Linked DNA regions of Coturnix japonica. The protein of the gene in region 3 purifies or fractionates together with the protein of the main gene of each other region. This does not show direct contact. Links are inferred from orthologs where the notes say so. Each region holds a gene or a part of one and is shown on either strand. Other genes may lie near its edges. The genes, in order: NCK2, PAK1 and RHOU.

Region 1 (6,479 bases), on a different chromosome or scaffold from region 3:
ATGCATTCAAAGCTGTGCTTGTGCAGACCTGTGCTTCAGCTGCAGATTTGTCATTACCCTTTGATGACCATTCATTAGGGACTAGGAAGAAGATTTCTGCCGAAGCATAGGCTCTGTGCTGGGGCTTCCTGACACAGCTCTGTATGCTGCGGTTATGCAGATCCAGGAGGTTCAGCTAGATCCTGACAGGTCTGGAATTGTTTTTAGCAGCATGGATGGAGTAGGATGGAGAAGGAATAGAAGGTATCAATACTAAAACAGTTAGGTGAGATTCAGGATCACGATTTGGGGCAGCGCAGGATATGGAGGGTATGTGTGGCAGAGACCCACATCTCTCCAGGAGAAGGAAGTGGCTCACTTTGGATAGATACTCTAGTGTGTACCAGGCCCCCAGCACATCTTCCCAAAGCAAAACTGGCGACCGTGTTGACATCGGGAGGTTCCCACTCCCCCACTGTGCTGCAGCTGTGCTGGGACAGAGCTTGCGCATGATATTGTGAACCGAACGCTCCCTCATGGGTTTTGCTTTGTTGGAGTGAGTGCAGTGATCTGGTTCTCAGTGTTGCCAGCTGTGTTTGGTGAAGGATGGGTGGTGGGCTCATGTCCTGCCTGTTCTAACTGCAGCCTTCTCAAAGCAACCACTCACCAAAGACTTGAAGATTTACAAAGTTTTATCATGCAGAATTGCTCTGTTCTGGATAATTTAATTAGTGGTTAAATTTGTCTTTCATGGCTGGTGGCTGATGGTGCAGTTTGTACTATATTTTTGTTCTATAGCTTTATCCTGTTAAGAAAAGGGTGTACGTGGTAGAAGACATCATTTCCTATGCATGTGGTGATGAAGATAAAAAAAAGGCATCTTTTTTTGAATTTTTTTTTCTTTTGCAGTACAAAGCAAGAATGGCCCTCTAGTGGTCACAGCTCAAAAAAATGATAAAAAACAATAATTAAAGAAATGATGCAGGGAGTTTGCTTCGTCTCACCCAAGTATTACTGCAGTAATAGCTTTCTCCAGGGCTCTCGAGCAAAGAAACCAAAATGATGAAAGTTTTCCTGTTCTCCTTGACATTCTTGTGCTTCTGCATGGAGGAACTAAGATAATATTTGCAATTTAGTCATGTAATTGGCAACTTCAGACTATGCATCTGGGGAGCTTCACTTAAATGACTTAACTGTGCACGATGGCAATTATTTATTGAATAATAGACTATTGGGTTTCTTAAGTAGCTGAGGCACTGAGCTGTGGAACAAAGACTAACACAAATTACGCTGTCAGCTGTATTTCAGTTTGTTCTTGAAACCACCATACTGTGCCTTCTTTTTGTTCACTTTTATGTAACTCTTTCTTTTTCTTTTTGAATTATTCCCAACAGCCCAGTGACTTCTCGGTATCTCTAAAAGCATCGGGGAAGAACAAACATTTCAAGGTGCAGCTCGTGGACAATGTCTATTGTATTGGGCAGCGTCGCTTTAATACTATGGATGAGTTGGTGGAACACTACAAAAAGGCACCCATCTTCACCAGTGAACACGGGGAAAAGCTATATCTTGTGAAAGCACTTCAGTGACGATGAAGATGGACTTGGCCACCCAGGCCCCTTCTAACTTCCAAGCCTTAGGTCCTAAAATCACTTTTATAGAGCAGAGCAATATCCGAAGCAGGCTTAAAGAGTAGGCTCTTTCTAACGTGTTTGCTCTGTTGGTTGTTATTTGTCCTTTTTCGTTTGCCTACTTTTGTGTTTCAGTTCTGTTAATCTCAGATCACCTCCCTTCAGGTTGAGAAGTTCACCTCTGTGGCCATTGTAAGCACTCACTTCCATGTCCGAGTTCTAAACTCCCCTCTTCTGTGTACGTTTACATACTTAGCTCGGATAAAGGAGGGGGGTTTGCAATTCAACCCAGTGTTAACCTGTTCAAATTGCTCACGCAGACAGACAGAACTCTTTGTTAAGAGACATCGGGCACAGTTTGAATGCACTGAGGCTGCAGCTAAGTAAGTGAGATATAGTAGACATAACAGTTGTGGCTGTGAGTTCTGTAGCTATATTGCTTACCAGGTAGTATATTACAAAAACTCCTAGTTCCTAGAAGCACTCTTTACACTGTACTCTGCTATTACATTGCCTCTCTGACTCTTTGCAAAGAGTACACTAATTAAAGCGTTTTGTAATAGTACTTCTTAAACTACTATGGTAAGATTGTAGTAAAAGAAAACTATCTAGTGTATTTTGGTCTGTAATTGCAACAAAGAGAAATTTTATTTGAAAGTTGATTACTAAAGAGAGAATCATTGAATTGTAAAGACTGAATGTTCTGGTAATCTACAACCAAATGTGCCATCCACATAATGCTTTTTTCCTCTTGCCCTTCTGCTTGTTTGAATTAAACAATTATGTATTTAATTCTCAAAGTAATATGTATCTGTAGCTGATTGTTGACACTAATACAGAAAATTAATAAAAACTGATCAGGGGACAGGGTGGGGTGGGCTACCAACACTATATATATATTTGCTTTACAGAAAGGAAACTTCAGGTTTTATGGAGGGTGGTGTGATTGGTAGGAAGAGACACACAGAATGTTTATGAAGAAAATGCTTTTTTCTCTTTTCTTTACATTTAAACTCCTTTATGGTTTAAATATACAGACTTTAGATGGCACACTCCTGAGATTGAAGAAGGGATCTTGAGATCTCAAAATCTTGCGTACTCAGTTTTTTGGATATTGTAATAAAAAAGGTATTATGTCATGATGGAGTACTGGGTTTATCCTTGGGTGGTAGTTCTGGCGTGGCTTTAGAAAGGTCAAATAGAGTAAATTCTGAATTTGCCTGTCTTGGAATGTGTGTGGCCTACAAAGAAAATATGTGCCACTGCAGAGTTCAGGTTGATACGAGGCGGTGTCTAATGAGCTCCACATTGATTCTCTCTGTGATTTGTTTATAGCTTTAATGAAAACTGCAAGATGGAGCTCTTTTATGGGACCTTTTTTTGCTATTAAGTCTTCCTTACAGATTTTTGTATTTCAGCCAGTGGTGATACATGCATAACTCCAGTGTAGGCAGAACAAGCACCAGCTGAGGGCTGCTCTGAAAGTAATGTCTCCTATTTATTATTATGAAGTCAGAGGTGGATATTAGTAGGACGGTAGTAGGGGCTGAGCATTCCCACCAACATTCTGTAACATTTTGCTGCTGTGTGACAGATGGCAGCACTCTGATGCAATGATGTCTGACATGAAAGTGTGTATGAAACAAAGGTGTCTAGTTGAATTCCTCCATGCAGAAAAAAATGGCACCCATTGACATTCATCATCATTTGCTGGAACTTAATGGAGACCAGACAGTGGATGTGAGCACAGTGAGGCGGTGGGTGGTGCATTTCAGCAGTGGTGACAGCAACATGAAAGACAAGCCATGTTCTGGATGGCCATGCAGATTTTTATGAGTGTGGCATGCAGGCTCTTGTTCATCGCTGGCAAAAATGCATAGCTGATGGTGATGACTGTTGAAAAAGAGTGTTTTGTAGCTGAGAATTTGTTCTATCAAATAGTGTTATTGTGCTCTTTGTATCTGTGGTAGTTTCGATGGAAGTAAATCGAGGCATTACTTTCAGAGCAACCAACGTACAACTTCATGAGTTATACACATGTTATTCTTCCACAGCTGCTCTTATTTCTGTGAGATTATCTGGATTAGAACTGTGTATGAATTAACAACTGTATGTGGGTAAACAAAAATCGGGCACTGAAACTTCTGCATGGTCCAGCTTTGTGAATAAGGGTAGTTATATAAGACAGACCAGAACAATCACTCTTCTTCATCCTGGCAAGAACATACCCATGGCTAGATTATGGGAGCAGAGAAATTTTCATTATGGAGTTGCTGAGAAGTGCCCCTTGTTTACATCCTTCTTGCCAGGACATCACAGTTGGTTTCTTCTTAACCTTTTAAGTGAGTTCTGCAGAGGCCATAGGGCTTTTGCTGTGTAATATCTAGTTACTCATTTAGCTCAATGTAAGCATGTACCTTGAGTATGACAAAGACATTAAGAAAGCCAACTACATGCTGTGTGTTTTCAGTTCGGAGTGAGTTGCTTTTCAGTCCCATTGCCTCTTTGTAGTGTTTCAAAAAGTGGTACGTGGGAATGTTTTTCAGTAAATCAACAACTACAGTTACTCTTTCATGTTGCCCCATGTTCATTTTTCTGAAACATTCACTGTATTTTGTGTTCCAAGAGTCTTTCTATGCCTCTTGCTGTGCGTTTCCTATTTTGCTTTTCTTTTTTCCACTGAAAGTTCCGAACCCCTTTCTAGTCTTGATAGATTAGAACTAAATCAAATAGACCTCCAAGTGAGATTTTTACCATATGCTCGATATTCTAAGGGATTTACAATCCTTTTATTTTTTTCTTCCACCTCTTGCCTTGTGAACAGCTTCTGAATATAGAGGCGCCAACCACTGGAGTATTTTGTTTGGAAGCAGTAACTAACGTTAATTTATGATCCAGCCTTATGAACAACTAGCTTGAATTATTTTTTTTTGAAACAAGCTTCATCTTGTTTTTGCCCACTCCGTATTTAATCAACATGCAGTCTATTCAGCAGGCTCATTAATAGGTCTTCAGTTGTTCCCAGTCCTTGCTAATTAAGATAGGTTTCTGCAAGTTTTACTGCCTTTTTGACCTCGTTTTCTGGATTGGGCCTTAAGCATTAAAAATTTTCAGTGGTAACAGTTTAATAAAGGATGGTATAACATGGATTTTTGTTTCCTCATTTTATACCTACACTTCCTATCTTTTGACAAAATTATAATCTTTATTTTTTGAGTACTTGAAGCATCTTTGTCGAAACATGGGATTAGGGGGTGTGTTTTGTTGTGAGATTATAGGAATTGTGGTTACCTGAGTTTCTTCTCCTGCAGTTTTCATTAAAGGCTCAAATAATGTCTGATAAAGTGGTGATTTTTCTTAATGATGAAGCCTGGCTTTCCTTATCATACCTGGTTCATAGAGGTGCATCTGTTTAGTTTTGAAGTATTACATTTGTATAGTTGTTGAATATTTTCTTGCCTTGATACAGTTTACATAGAACAGTGAATGAGTTTTCTGACTCTGCTACTAGTTGACAAGATGGTCAAATCCTCTCACTTCTGAACTTGCACATCCTTGTAAGCTGTGCCATTCCTTTCCTAAGGCTTTACTTAGGTTGCTGTTCCTCTTGGTCCTTGATTTTTTGCTGTTCAGTCTTGCAGACTGAAAGGTGTCCAGAAGGGCTGGGAGGAGGTCCTGTCTATCACCAGTGTTTTGTTTTTTGAGAGAAAACTTAGAGGAGTGTTTTGCTACCATTTTTTAGCCACTTCAGAACTGCATATATCTGGGACCTGATACTGTTTGTCAGTGCCTCCACTGCCATGTTGCTGTTACCCATGCTAGTACTTGGCTAAATAAATAAATAAATCGGAGAGCTTTAGGATTTACTCTCTTTTGCAGATGAATGGGCACAAGCTTTTTCTCAGGTCCTAAGCCAGGCAGTTGCTTGCCAGCTCCAAATTAGAAAAAGCGTGAACTTGCAGCACGGTGCTGAGTCTTAAACAGGAAGTCATGCAGAGAAGTACAACAGAAACTGTAAATAAAGTGGTGCAGCTTTCAGCTGATTTAAGGTGCCTGTCAGCAAAATATGACACAGTTTGGTTCCAGATAGCCACAGCTGACCGATTTAGTTTTGAAGGTAGTCACACTAGTTGCAGGCAGATTACTGAAGGATTAAGCTACAAGTAAACAGAGAGCATGCCGGGTAAGCTCGTGTGGTCCTGCTGTGCTGTAAAAGCAAAGGCTTTGCTTTGCCTTTGCTTTTGGGGAAAGTAGAGAAAAGGTGGTTGGGTAATTAACATGAATGTGGAGTGTGTGAATGGACTAAAAGTCATGGTCTTGAATAATTCTGTTTAGTATTCTCTAATCAATTTTCTTTTGTCTTAGAAATTAAGGTGACAGTCTTCAAGTTGACAGCTGTGCTTTCAAGCCTTTACTGTAGCTTTCCTGTAGTGTAAAACTAACTTCCTAATTTAACAGTTTCACTAAGGTATAAGTGAAAGATACCTGTGCTTATAGTGATGAGTTTTGTGATGACAAAGCTGGAATGTTTAAAACCATTTTACAATTTTATCTTATAAGAATGAACCAAATTTTGCCTCAACTACAAACAAAAACAAACATTAAAATATATATTTATCTAGAAAAGGGACCATGCTTCTTTTGGATTCAGTCTGATATTTTGTTTGGCAAAAGCTACTACATAACTGGAACGGCGTTTGTTCCTTCTTGGTCTTAAACAGGTCTGTTCAGTAGCTTGGAAGTAAGGAAACCTGTGCAATCTCCTTGAAATCTGATTAATTCTGTGTTCCTCCTCCAGCAGCATAGGATGACTCATTTTAAAATGGAAACTTGTTATCATATGTATACTGATGATCTGTGAAAGGTGTG
Region 2 (7,091 bases), on a different chromosome or scaffold from region 3:
TGTCTGACTATTAAGCCTTGTCATTAAGTTTCTCCCTGTTTGTGACAATTCTTCAAGGTATTCTTGATATCTGATTCCTTGTAGGCTGAGGCCAACTTGTCTGTAATTGCTCAGACAGGTTCGAGTGGACAAATGATTGCGGGTGATTAAACTGGTACACCATAGCAAGGTACTATTCCTCAGTCCTGTGACTTCACATGCCCCTATATTCCCTGTGCATCATTTCAGTCAAGGCCTGGGATCCGATCTGGCTGAAAATCTTAGTAAAAATCTTAGGTGGAGAAGTTTGCTGATCCCTCCCAGGTGCACACATTGTCACACTGGCACGCTGCAGGGAGTAGCTAAGGAGCAGAGATGCACAACATGATATGAACCATCAATGCTGGTCTTGCTGATGGAGAATAAACTGTCAGGATGTGCCCCACAATATCTGGGCTCCTCTCTCTGCTCTGCATCTGAAGTATAAACAACTGAACAGTGTTGGTCTTTGAGGCCCGGGCTGGTCTCCCACAGAACTCTTTTATACCCATATTGAAAATGGGAGACCCTTGTGAGGTATAAGGAAACCTTTTCCTACCCAAACTGAAAATGGGCCATCTGAGTTTATCCCGAGTTCAAGGCAAGATGAATCATTTCTATGAAATTCCCCCTGAGCACTTTCTCTGCTCTGAGTACTTACAAGGCAAATAAATGATCTGCATTTCACTCATTCCTTTCTCAAGTACAAAACCTGGTTTGCTGCAGTAGCTCTGTCCCATTCTGACGCTGTGCATCTCAAACAGCTCTTCTGCCATGTGTTTGGGAATCCTCTCTGAAATACAATAGATAGAGAAGTTCTGGGATCTGGATCTATTCCAAACACTGCGTCGTAATCCCAGAATATTCTCAATGTTTCGCAGTGAATATAAAAAGATTTAAGTGAAACGATTTCTGAACCAAGATAACCTGTGCATAGACAAAGTCTTTTTGCTTTACAATGCTTCTAATTAAAGTGCAGTATTCTGGTTGTTCCGTGCTGCTGTGATACAAATATAACAGCAGCCATAGCAGGGGCTGTTGGAGCAATCCATGGGCTGATGGTGGGCCAGGCCTTAGGCCAACCACTGCCAGTAACTTCCCATCACCATTCTCCATATCACTGTCATGGGGTTGGATAAATGTGTTTGGTCAGATATCTTTCAGAGAGGGCACCCTTAGGAGTACTTTGGACCAGTCTCTCACCTGGCTTGTTTTCAAACTTGTTTTCAAAACTATCAGGGTGCATCCTTGTTTCTTAAGAGGTTTTCTTATTCAGAGTACAGAAAGAGTCACTCTTCGGGACTCGGTGTGGGATGGAAAGGGAGCTGTGCTCAGTTCTAACTTCAGCTCTGTGTGCTTCCTTTGCAGCTATGGAATCTGAGCTCAGCTGTGCAGTTTTCCTCGCTGCAGTGATCACGCACGACTCCCACGTACCTGGGGGTTCCCATATCTAGGGGGAAGTAACTGAGCATGTGGTTCAGCAACAGGTTAAGCTGATTGAAATCAGCCCTGCTGCACTCCAACCTTCCCTGCCACTCCTTGTGTTCTCACTTCCTCTATTTGTGTATTTCAGTCGGATTCATTAGCTCCTGAACAAACTTATCAGGGGAACTGATAAACGCTGATACAGGAGGGAAGGGCAAGGCTGTGCAATGCTGTTGTATACGAGCGTGCTGTGACTCTGTAAGATCAGGTCTGATGTGGTGACCTGCATTATTTGCCTCCCATGTATCTACCTGTTCCACTTAGCGTTTGACATCTCTGTCTAGACAGCCTCACCGTTTCCTTTTCCTGAATGCCTGTGATCAAACCCCACCTCTTCTCTCCCAGCAGAGCACAAGCGCGGTGCTGAACACTCCTGCTAACTACGGGGACAAGTTTCCAGCGAGCTTTGCATCGTGGGGGAGGACAAACCCCATCTCTTGCAGTATAAGGTAACATCCCTGCGATACGCACATCCTGCTGTGCAGCACAGCAGCAGGGCAGAGCCAGTTTCCCTTCTTTCCTTTTTTGGATCTGCGAGCCACACGGTCCCTAATGGAGCCGGTTCTGAGATACCGAGAACAGAAACCAAGTCACTACAGCCGGCCATCCCCTCCCCTCGGCCTTATCACCATAATCGCGAACCATCCTTCAGTCCCGCACCAACCCCGTGCTCTATAAGCACCGGGCACCGAACAACCAGCCCATCCCAAAGCTCCAACACAACACACCGGCTCCAAACTTCTCCCCCAACCTTGGGCTGCCCACCTTGGTGGAGGGGGCGGACTCCTGGACCCCTCCGGAGCCAATGATAGCGGGGAGGGTGCGGGGAGGCGGCGCCGGGCGGCCGCGGGGAGCGGGCAGGGCGGAGAGCGGGCGGCACCTTGCAGCGGGCGGAAGGTGAGTGCTGCTGGGCCGGGGATTTCCTCCGCGATCTTTTCTTTTTTCTTTTTGTAACTGGAAAGTTTGTAAAGAGGATGAGCGGCTGGGTTCTTATTTTTCTTCTCTCTTTCTCTCTCTCTTTTTTTTTTTTCCCTTCCCCTTTCCATTCAATTTAAGAAAGAGGTTTGGGGGGGGGGGGGGGGAACGGCATTGAGATCGCCTCCCTCCTGCTTTCCCAGCTCATTCATTTAACAAAGGGTGTTGTCTGTAGCCTCGGGCTGTGCGATCGAAAGCCGCTTGGGGTCTCCGGACGGAGGTTGAGGTGGGGGAGGTCGGGGCTCAGCCCGCACCTTGTGCTGGCTGCGGCTGGAGGGGCTGGGGGGTGAACACAAAGAGTTGAGGAGCCGGCCCATTGCTGGGTAATGCAGCCCCGGGCTTTGTGTGTGGCTGTATCGCAGGGATGCGGACGTGGGAGCGTGTTTCTCCTTTATCCCCCCGTTCCATGTGTGCGTGTATGAGATCTGTTGTTATTCAAGATCTTAAAAGCGAAGCTGAACTTAAGATCGTGGCACGACTCGGATAGGAAGGGACCTCACTAGGTCTACGGTCGAGCCCCTCCGGTTCGGATCGGGGAGCGAACGGCAGCGAGGAGACCTCGCGAGTTGGGTGGCACCTCTGGGTGCTCCTGGGAGCCCGAAGGAAAGGGAGCACAGCAGGGCGGGGGGGAGCAACTCTCGTCCCTTCCACAGTGCTTGGAAACCCGCATCTCTCCCGTGCCTGCAATCCATGCTCTCTTGCTGCTTTTGTTATCCAGAGGGTTTAAAATCCACGATTAGTGGGAAGAGCTGGCTCCATCCGCGTGTGTGTCACGGTGCATCTGCTCCTGCTGGGCATTGCTTGGTTCTTAACTCAGACATTACCTCCAGCAGCAAGATTTATAAATAAATAGATGTCAAGACCTGGCTCTTTGCTTGTTACCAGCTGTAAAGCATGTACTTTAGGTGGTGATTAAGTACACTGTGTGCGTATGTAAGAACAACTGTAGAAGCTGTTTAGTTCTAGCCAAGCTTTTTAAAGTGAAAGCAGACATTGTAGCTGGTGAAATGGCTGTGCTGGGCACGGGAGGGAGAGTGTTTGTTCTCCTTGCTTGCAGTTACTCTTTGTACAGTGACTCACCGGTACCTTTCACTGAACCACCTCCCCATTCTCCTTACCTGGAGTTTTCCTGGTGTTGCCTGGTGCATCAGGGAACATCATCATATCTGCTGCTCTAAGAGCCTTCCTGTTGTGTGGGTGCTTTCGTCTTGCTCATGTATAAGGCTTGAAGAACTCCTCCGTGTGGAACAGCTCATGGTGTGTGTCCACTGGGTGGTTAGACATTACTTTTCCCTCTGTGTTTTCTGTGGATTAGGCAGAAAAAGGGCTATAAGAAAGAAGGGGAGAGACTCTTTAACAGTCTGTGTTGTGATCTCTCAAGGGGAAATGGTTCCAAACTAAAAGAGGGGAGATTTAGATTGGATATAAGGTTGCCCAGAGAGGTGGCGGTGCCCCATCCCTGCAGGCAGTCATGGTCAGGCTGGATGGGCTCTGAGCACCTGGTGGAGCTGTGGGTGCCCCCATGCATTGCAGGGGAGTTGGATCAGATGGCCCTTAGAGAGCCCTTCCAACTCAAATGATCCTATGGTTTTGTGATAAAATATATTGCTTGCCTATTGCTTTTCTGGCTGGTTTGCTTGCACTGGAAATGCAAACTTATTCTTTTGCCCCAGAGATCTGCTGATTTTTGTGGATCCTTTCCCAGTTGTGTGCAGAACTTTGACTGCAAGTGCATGAATTTCACCTGGTTTCTTAAGTGGTTTTGTTTAACTTAAGACACCAGTGAGCTTCAGTGTGGCTTCAGTCTGTTCTGTACCTGTCTCACTTCATAGGTGTGGATAGTTTCATTATTTTGTAACCATAGCTGTGATGGCCCAGTTCCATTACATTCTTCTGGGTGTATTGAAACACCTATAAAAATAGACTTTTCTGGTTAGCAAAACAGAAACGATGCTGAGCTCCACCCTTCGAGTGATCTGGGTTTACAGTCCATCCTGTCAACAGCTCATGATAACAGAAGTAAATAGACTTCGTAAAGGGTCTGAGAAACAACCATGCTTTATGAGGAAGTATAGGAAAACAAACTGAGACCAAGCATCTGTAAACATCAGCCGTCTGTCTTTAAGTCTTGGCCGATTGTTTTCCCTTTGATGCATACAAAAATCTCTCTTGTTGGCTTTTTACCTCTTTGGGAAGGGGAAATACTATGTGTCAGAAATGTATTGTGCCTTTTTCTGTGCTTGCCCAAGAGCTGTGCTTGTGCTTTCAACCTCTGTAAGGAACTGGGAAGAATGTAAATGTGTTTTGCTTGATGGCAAGGGGCTTGATGGCAATATGGACTTGCGCATCTCTCACCTGGGGGGAGGTGCTTTGAAGCCCCATTCCCAGTGGGAGCAGGGCTGGGGCTGGCAGCAGATGCTCAGTGATGCAGCACGTAAGGCACAGAGATCAATTCTTCCCTCCTGAGCAAAAGGCATGTGATGCTCTTTAGGAATAGGTAGCTTGAAACAGCCCAGCACTATTTATGCTAACCAGACTTTTATTCATTAGAATTGAAAAGGCTCTTACAGGACATATAATTTATCATCATTTGGGAGGTAGTGGAGTCACCGTCCCTGAAGGTGTTCAAGAAACGTGTAGATGTTGTACTGAGGGACGTGGTTTAGTGGGTGGTGGTGATGGGTTGGTGGTTGGACTTGGTGATCTTAGTGATCTTTTCCAACCATAATGATTTTGTGATTCCCCAGTAGGTGCTTTAAAATAGGTCAGTGAGTTGCACTATAAAAACGCTGACTGCTCTTTGTGCTCAGGCTGGTCCCCTGGATCTCACTGTTATTGTGTTGTATGTGGAGCAGGTAGCTGAGAGGAGTTCTGCTTCCTCATCTTGATTTGAGGATCCAAGCAGCAGTGTTAACAAATGCACTGGTATTCTTGTATAGCTTTCTCTAGCTCCCTTCATTTTAGCAATTGTTTGCAGGGTGATGCAAAAGGAAACAAAAACAGCTATCTGATGAAGTGCATTTCCAGGTGAATTTGAAGAAACAGTGGAAGTATTCAGGTCTCGTTTATGTACCAATGTACTTCTGGTAAATTATCAAGGCTCTGGAGTAGCTGTTTAAGCTGGCAATCCACATGTCCTTTCTTCCCATCATATAGCAAACGGCGGCCTCTCTGTATCTCTTACATCTTGTCTGAGACACAGGTTAAACAGTAACTGTCCTTCCATGGTTTCCTTCCTTCTTGTAATCTGTGCTCTTTGGACCTGCTGCATAGCGTAAGGGCGAAATAAGCTGGCTGATATAACTCCCTTAAAAATCACTGTTTTTTTCCTACCTCTCTTCTAGAATTACTTAAGTCAGGTGGTGGTAAGTGAGGCATCCTGTTGTCAAGGAGGAGAATATGCTGATGGGATAAAAGAAAGGTCCTATTTTGGGTAAAACAGACCAAATCAGAAGATTGCAGAAGCAGTAATCAAGTGTTCTTTCAGAAAGGAAAGAATTTCTCCCACAATAACACTTTGTGATCCCAGTTAAGGTATAAGAACCATGGCATATGATATACTGATATATATATATATATATGATACACACACACACACACACACACACACATATATATACACATCTGATGTGTAGCTATTAAGATCTTGATCTTGGCCTTCAGCTATGGGGCTAACAGAAATCAAGTGGCAGGTCTGCATTGTGTGAGGCATAAAACCTTGTTTCATCCTCTGTTCTCTTCTTTTTCTATAACGTTAATCCATACATGTAATCGAAATGGAAAATGGAGGATAAAAATAAAAACTACTCATAATTTTTGTGTTTTTAGGGCAGGGAGTGTCATCCAGGTTTACCTAAAGCATTGTCTCCTGCCTAATGTATGTAGTGCCTTTGCACAGTTTACGGGTGAGGTAGAATCATGGCTCTTGTTGACTTTACAAATGGCAGCAGAGAGAAATAAAATCAAATAGAATCATAGTCACAGGCAGTCCTGAGTTGGAAGGGACCCATAAAGATCATCAGGTCCTACTGCTGGATGGAGAAGTTTAGGACACAGTTTTGTTTCCAGAGTTGTAACAGCACCACTTTGGGACTTGGAGTTACTTTCTGTAAGTGTGATTAGGGTTTGAACTGTTGGTTGTCTTAAGTCTATAAGTGGCACACAGGTATTTTGTATGATGGCTCTCTTACAAGGTGGAGCCTGTTTCTCAGGGCTTGGATTCTATTCACGAACCAGGAGCTGGAGTGAGAAGCATATTTCATTGGATCTGGTGTCTTACTGCACATGGTTTTTCTCCTCGTTTGCATACAGAGTGCTTTGTACAGTGTGAAATACCTCGTCGGTTCTTTAGCATAAAGGATTTCCAATATAAATTATTTTCTATTCTTGCAGATTACCAAATGCATGTTCTTAAAATATGAGATCCTTGGACTTCTAGCCCAAACTCCTCTGTAGACAGAGAAGTAATTCCTTTTATAAAACTTGAGTTTATTTTTCCCAGCTATCTTGAAATGAATATTATGCAGTTTCACCAGCAAGCTCAATTCAAAGGCTCTGTGCCAGAATGAATCTATCCTTTGCCTTTAGTAGGTATTTCAAGAATGTCTTATTTC
Region 3 (6,962 bases):
CGGTGAGCTCAGTAACGCTCCTCAGCTTCCTTGTGACACCCTGGGCAGGAGGGGAAGAGGACAGAAATGACCCTCGAGTCGGGAGGTGACAAATGAGATGTCAGTGCTGTAACATATCAGGTTCCCTCACAGCATGCTGAAGGTATATATGTGACCTTTCCAACCATAGCATTTGCGTTTAGATTACACCTCTCGCATACCCATTTTAAAGCGATCCCTAAGACTGTTGGTTTGGGAAGACGTGGAGAAGAGAGCAGGAGTGGGTTTCTTTAAAGCTAGAAAGGTCCGTTAGGAGGCACAGTGTTATTTTCCCTTTAACCGTCCGTGTACACAGCTCTACATTTCCACAGTCCTCCTGCGCAGCCCTTGCAGCGAAAGGCTCCCGTCTGTTCCTCCCCATCAGGTACACAGGGTAAGACAAGAAGTCAAATCCTTTGGACAAATCCTTATAGCTTCACAGACACGTGGTGCACTTCTTCCGCAATGAAAGATTTTAGTCACGAAACTCAACGCCAGATCTGATTTATAGCCATGATTTAACTACAAATCCTTCTGCTACCCTCACGAGGGCAACGGAGATACCAAGTAGCAACATATACACATACATACAGACCTAAGCTATACACCTGGGACAACACAGAATGAGATTTCAGCTAATATAGCCTCTATTTGATTTCCTCAGAGCAGCACTCGGGTCCTCGCAACTTCTATACAAAACAGCAGTATTTTTTCCACCAGGATTTGGAGAGGTTTTTCATCTTGTCTGGAGTCCTACACTTGGATTTCTTTGGTTGCTGTTGGGTATCTGAGTACTGAATTCCGGCCACAATGGCCGCATCAAAGACCTCCTTGAGGTTTTTCTGAGTCAAAGCCGAGCACTCGATGTAGGACGCAGCTTTTATTTCCTCAGCACAGAGCTTTGCGGCCTCCTCTGGGACTGGCTTCTCCTTGCACTTGTCCAGCTCAATGAGCACCTTGACGTCCTCCCGGAGGTCCGACTGCGTCCCCACCAGGATGATGGGTGCCTTGGGGCAGTGACATCGGATCTCGGGAACCCACTTCTCACTGACGTTCTGGAAGGATGAAGGGCTGACAACGCTGAAGCACAGCAGGAAGATGTCTGTGTTGGTGTAGCACAGCGGCCTCAGCTTGTCAAACTCATCCTGTACAGAACAACAATGTGTTAGCACATGACAAACAGTGTAGGCCGCAAAACGACCCCAGCTTCAACCCTTGTCCTCTGGGGAGACCACAGTACCAGAACATGAGCCCAATTGCAAACCCAAGGCCCAGCCATGCCTAGCCACAAGCTCCCATCTGGATGAGCTCTCCTAATGCTGCAGCGTCAAGTGTTTATGTATTTCCTTTGCTACTTCTACATCAGCCCTATTTCAAACCAGAAAAAGGACCAGCAGAGCCACAGAGAGCAATGAAGCTAAAAAGGGAGGTATGGGAGGTTAAAGGTACACAGACCTCCGAGGTGCTGTCCTGCCTGCATACCCTGATGAGAGCACAGCAGACAAGTGGCAGCAAGCACACACCAGGCCGGAAACATTTTGAAACCAGCACTACTTAACAACATCCTACAGGAGAGGCAATAATTTCCCTGCCTTTGTGCCCGGGGATTTAAATCCTGATGGCAGCAACAGCGAATCACAATGCACGGGCTTAACATGCCAATGGCATGGAATAAGAGCTTTACCTTTCCCTCCCACCCATGCCACATCAAACAAACTGCAGAGAGGCCTCCCGGTGCTATCTTTTTTTTTTTCCCCCCCTCCTCTCCCCTTTCCTCTTTTTGTTAGAGGAAACTCCCAACAAAGCAAGGCCCTTCTGCTGCTTCAGGAGGTAGCAGCAAGAAAGCCGAGCACCTGAAGGTAATAAAGGAGCAAAGAATGCAGCAAGAAGCAGAGGGTTAACTAACTGCACACAGCCCTTGATGCTGACAGCAGGATGAAAGCAGGGTAACACCAGCAGCCTGAGCAGGTAGGATTTGCCTCTACCAAGTGACATTTTAATTAAAATGGACATGTTCTCAAAAGCTCTGAATTTAAAGCGCAGAGAACAAACGCGGCTGAAGACATTTCTCCAACACCAGCATTTAATTGCAAGTCGTGTGTTCATTTTCAAGATGGGAAATTCTGCTTTAAAGCCCGTGAGGGCCCAGGATATGCAGCTTAAAGCTCGCTGGAAGCCTCACAAGTCTCGTTCTACTTGAATGAATTTCTTCCAGCAGCAACTCCGAGAGAGACAGCAATTTATAAAACAAGAGTCAAGACAGCAAGCTTCATTAGCTCTGCTGATTCCCTGATTAAGGCTCACAGGAGTGCGGGTTCTCACCATTTGACTGGAGGAGCCCTGTGCTCACTGAGCTGCAGCACTGAAGGACGGGGCCATTTGCAGCGAGGCATCTCACCACCTAACTGCCTCTTCCTGCAACGTGAGAAACCTCAGCAGCGCTGGATTCAATGGGCTTGAAAGCCAAACCCAGATCTTAAGGGTTCCTGCCCAGAAGGAACGGCACCCTTTATGTTCCAAGTGCACTCCTGCGGTTTCAATGGCAGGTACACAGACTGCAGGGCTCTGTACCTCTTCAGGCTGCCGACACTGAAATAGCTGGAATTTCACTCTGCTTGGAGTGCTCTTTCAGCTGCAGATTCCAGCAGCAATCTCACCCAGCCAGGTGTATTTTATTCAAGATGACTAATGCTGCAGACAACTCCCCCTGTTCCAGGGCACTTGGACAGCCCAACACCAGAACCATTCTGTAGCAGTGAAGGAAAGCAGACTAGCTGGCACCACCTGGCCTGGGCTCTATACCCACAGGCTGTCACCGCACAGGTGGCATCACCTGCACACTCTGCTTATGAGCACACACAGGGATCCACCCTGGCATCACACCAAGGGACACCTGATGCTACTACCTGCAGAAGGCAGGTAATAACCTGCTTGCAGGTTTTCAGGTTGGGTTTGTAGGGCAGACGGAAGCCCTACACTGCTACCAGGACTGCGCGGCCCTCTAAAGTCCTTCCTTAAGTAGGGCACCTGCTTGCAGAGCACCTAACTAGGTTTGTGTGCTAAGGCCACTGAGATTCATCCATGTGGCTTTGGGGATGCCATAGACCTGGATCTACAAAGCAGATCACGAATCCAGTTCCCATCCCCTTCAGAAACAAGTTAAGTAGCAAAAAAACTTCAAGCTACAAGGGACTCAAACAGTACCGCATGTTTTTATGGCACACACAGGCCAAGAACATGCAGAGAACACAAGAGATGGGGGCTCTAGTCAGGCAAACGAGGAGCTGGTGAGCTCAGAAGAGACAGCACTTCATAGTAGATGGGAATTGAAAGCGCGAAGTCTCCACGGATGCCACCAAATGGTATTTTCTTTCTCCCTCAAGTCCCTTTAACAGCACAGTTCCACCTCTCCATACCTACAGCTATGAACGTGTAAACGTCTGTGCTCCAAACAAAGTAATCCTCATTTCCGTGGTTATTTAACTAAGAAAATGAAGGCGGTGATAACTGCTCTCAGGGAATACCAGGTGGCCTTCCAGACCCCGGGGTCACCACCGGGGCCGCTTTGTGTGACCTCTTCCCCAGGGCCCTCCCCCCTTCCCTCCTGCTGTCACTGGGTTTGGTGGCTTCACTGACCTGCCCGGCTGTGTCGCAGAGCTGCAGTCGCACCGGCTTGCCATCCACAGACACCACGGCTAGGGGGAGACAGGAGGGGGAAAGAAAAGCGTGTTGAGTTCAACTTGCACATTTTCCTTTAGGAAAAAAAAAAAAAAAAAAGGAAAGGAAAGGAGAGATACGGTCTCTGTCTTCACAGCCTTTCCTTTCGCTTAGGCTGGATGTAACAGCTCACAGGGCTGGAGCCGGGTCTAGCACCAGCTACCAGGCACGCAGAAGCCCTGTGGACTCTCTGCTTCATAGCCCCGCTCTGTGCCTTTCCCTGCTGTAGGGGCCTTATTCCGCGATCCTTTTACACGTTCTCAAGCACGGAGAGCCCCCGCCGGGCCGAAGGCACACGGAGCGGAGCCTCACCCTCCGCAGCCGCCTCTGGCCGGGTAGAACCACACATGTCCGGCGTCCCTCGAGGGGGACGAAACTCCAGCCCTGCTATCTCCCTATTCAAGCCGCTCCGCTGTAGCGTGCCGTCCGCGGGCACCCCGGGAACAACCCCCCCCCACCACGCCGCCGCTGCCCCGCGGTCCCGCTTACCTGAGAAGGTGTCGAGGGCGGTGGGCTGGTACTCGTCGGGGTACCCGTTGGTGGTGTAGCTGACGACCAGGCTCGTCTTGCCCACGGCGCCGTCTCCCACCAGCACGCACTTGATGCTGCGCCGCGGCTCGGCTCCGGCCCCCGCCCCGCTCCCCGCCGAGGTCCCGGCTCCGCTCCCCGCCGCCCGGCAGCGGCCGCCCAGCGCCGCCCCCAGCGCCGCCGCCGCCCGCCCGCTGCGCACCCTGCGCGGGGGAACCGGCGGCACCTCGCAGCCGCCCGGCACCGGCTTGCTGATGTAGCCCGCCTCGCCCTCCTGCTGCGGCGGCATCCGAACGGCGCCGCGCGGTACCGCCGGCCGGGAGGCGGCGCGCGGCGCGGGGCCGCCGGCCGGGGAGCGGCGGGGAGCGGAGACGGCGGCGACGGGAGAGCGGTGCGGAGCAGCCGCGGGTCGGCAGGAGCGGCGCGGCCGCCGCGAAGCCAGCACCGGTGGAGCGGGCGCTTCCCGGGGGAGGGAGAGAGGGCGAGCGGCTCCTACAGCGCTGCCGGCGACGAGACCCCGGCTGGCCGTGCCGTGCTGTGCTGCGCTGTGCTGTGCTGTGCTCGCCTCGCTACCAAGTCCGAGTCTCCAGCCCCGCTCCGCCGCGTGACATAGCGCCGAGTGGGGAGGAGCCGCGCGGTGCGGCCGGACCCAGCCCGGCAGGCGGCGCCACGGCGCCCGCTCCGCCCGCCCGACGGCTGCGGCTGCCGGTAGGGGCGGCGGGAGTCACCATTGGATGGAGCGGAGGGGGTGCGCCGCCTGCACCGTCGGGGCCGCCCGCTGTCCGCTGCCTGGTGCGTCCCTTGAGTTATAGTGATGCTGCTGCCAGCCCTCGTGGGGTGCCTGAGGGCACCTGCTGTGTGCTGTGCTGTGCTGGGCAGGGCAGAGCCGCAGCTGCAGCCTGGGCTATCAACTCACTTCCACTCTGAAGAGATTGAAGAAGAGTTGAACTCTAATTACATCCCAGCTGTATTTTGTCTTAGCGTCCCACACACCGTGCACGCTGTTGGTGCTATGAAGTGGTACGCCATGCTGGAAAGTGCTGAACATCACTTTGAACCAGCTTTGTAGCCCTCCTCTGGACATTGAGGCCCTGGAACGCGTCCAGAGGAGGGCTACGAAGCTGATGAGGGGTCTGGAGCACAGGCCTTATGAGGAGCTGCTGAGGGAGCTGGGATTGTTCAGCCTGGAGAAGAGGAGGCTCAGGGGAGACCTTATTGCTCTCTATAACTTCCTGAAGGGAGGTTGTAGTGAGCTGGGGGTTGGCCTCTTCTCTCGTGTAATCAGTGATAGAACTAGAGGGAATGGTTTTAAGCTGCGCCAGGGGAGATTCAGGCTGGACATTAGGAAGTATTACTTCTCGGAAAGGGTAGTCAGGCATTGGAATGCACTGCCCAGGGAGGTGGTGGAGTCACCGACCATGGGAGTGTTCAAGAAACGCTTGGATGTGGTGCTGAGGAATATGATTTAGCCAGGAAGTATTGGTAATGGTTGGACTAGATGATCTTCTAGGTCTTTTCCAACCTTGATAATTATGTGATTCTGAACAGTGTTGAAGGATGATGTGAAAAAGCTCTTCACTGCAAACACTGCAAGTGATAAATGCCATGTGTGCATTTTCGAACACCTTCGGTGGCCAAAAACAGTTGATGTATTGGTTAGATGACTACAACTGTCCACATTGTTCCTGCACTGGCAGGGCGGGAGCAGCCTGGGAGCTGCATATCTGTGCTATACTGTAATGCGCCCTGCCAGATACAGTAGCCCTTTGTATGAGAGGATGATCTAAGCTGTTGTTATGCAGGGGGGGTTCCCACCCACACCATAGCAGCAAGCTGGGGCAACCCCAACAGTGGTGCCATCCTGCATGGAGGATGCTCTGAGTGACAGCCACTGTCCCTGAAGCTGTCAGCCCAGATCTACAGTGTGCACCCATCTTGCAGGTTGGAACACAGCTGTTTTCAGAGCTGAGCTGTGGGATAACGAAGCTTAGTTCCATGCAGGTCACTAGTGTGCTGCTGGCTGTCCCAGGGCTGATCTGTTATCAGCTCCCGCTCTATCATACGTGCTTGTGTTAGTCGAATACTATTCTTTGAGGAAAATGACAGAGAGAGGAAATTATTTTATCAAGACGTGAAGTAGGTCATTGTTATATCCTGGCTTATCATTTTCCCTGTGATACAAAGAATCTGAACGGGGTGCTGGCCTTGTAGAATGAAAGCTTTCTCTTTTTTTTTCCTTCCTGCAGAAACTTGACAAGCCTGACACGGAGCAAGGCAGTGGGTATGACGTGATGCAGTGCTGCTGGTGCAGGGCAGGGTACAGCCTGCTACATGGGGCCGTCACCAGGCACCCACTCTTTGCTTTTCCAGCAAGCCCACAGCTGGAAATATATATTATATATATTATATATATATTTGCCGGGGCTTTTTTTAAAGAACATGTTCATCACTGATGATATAAACCTCAAGCAAGTTTTCACTACCTGGGGAAAGGGCTCAGGAACCAGCACACATTATTAACACAGTAATCTCCCCCTGCCCCTCCAACAGAGTTCAGATTGAGAAGGCACTAACATGAACTCAAAGAAATGGATTGTTGAAGTCAACCTGTAAGCAAAATAAAACAAAACTAAACAAAGCAGAATTGCTTCGAGCCTCTTAAGTCCCTGATTAATTCAGAAAACAAATTAACTCTTGCC

What was found.
Region 1: the proteins of RHOU (region 3) and NCK2 purify together in Homo sapiens (co-immunoprecipitation; 3 studies listed by BioGRID and IntAct, with this or other methods). This does not show direct contact. The link is inferred for Coturnix japonica from reciprocal best matches to the Homo sapiens genes RHOU and NCK2.
Region 2: the proteins of RHOU (region 3) and PAK1 purify together in Homo sapiens (co-immunoprecipitation; 5 studies listed by BioGRID and IntAct, with this or other methods). This does not show direct contact. The link is inferred for Coturnix japonica from reciprocal best matches to the Homo sapiens genes RHOU and PAK1.

Annotation. Positions count from the first base shown.
Region 1 is NC_029516.1:122,087,706-122,094,184, forward strand, and holds the end of NCK2 (cytoplasmic protein NCK2), read left to right. Parts: intron 1-1,373; coding exon 1,374-1,568; 3' UTR 1,569-4,759; downstream 4,760-6,479. UniProt on the Homo sapiens protein: Adapter protein which associates with tyrosine-phosphorylated growth factor receptors or their cellular substrates. Maintains low levels of EIF2S1 phosphorylation by promoting its dephosphorylation by PP1.
Region 2 is NC_029516.1:172,809,108-172,816,198, forward strand, and holds the start of PAK1 (serine/threonine-protein kinase PAK 1), read left to right. Parts: upstream 1-2,346; 5' UTR 2,347-2,400; intron 2,401-7,091. UniProt on the Homo sapiens protein: Protein kinase involved in intracellular signaling pathways downstream of integrins and receptor-type kinases that plays an important role in cytoskeleton dynamics, in cell adhesion, migration, proliferation, apoptosis, mitosis, and in vesicle-mediated transport processes.
Region 3 is NC_029518.1:35,772,155-35,779,116, reverse strand, and holds the start of RHOU (rho-related GTP-binding protein RhoU), read right to left. Parts: upstream 4,568-6,962; 5' UTR 4,553-4,567; coding exon 4,225-4,552; intron 3,714-4,224; coding exon 3,655-3,713; intron 1,164-3,654; coding exon 708-1,163; 3' UTR 1-707. UniProt on the Homo sapiens protein: Binds to and activates protein kinase PAK1. Plays a role in the regulation of cell morphology, cytoskeletal organization and focal adhesion assembly during cell migration. Also stimulates quiescent cells to reenter the cell cycle.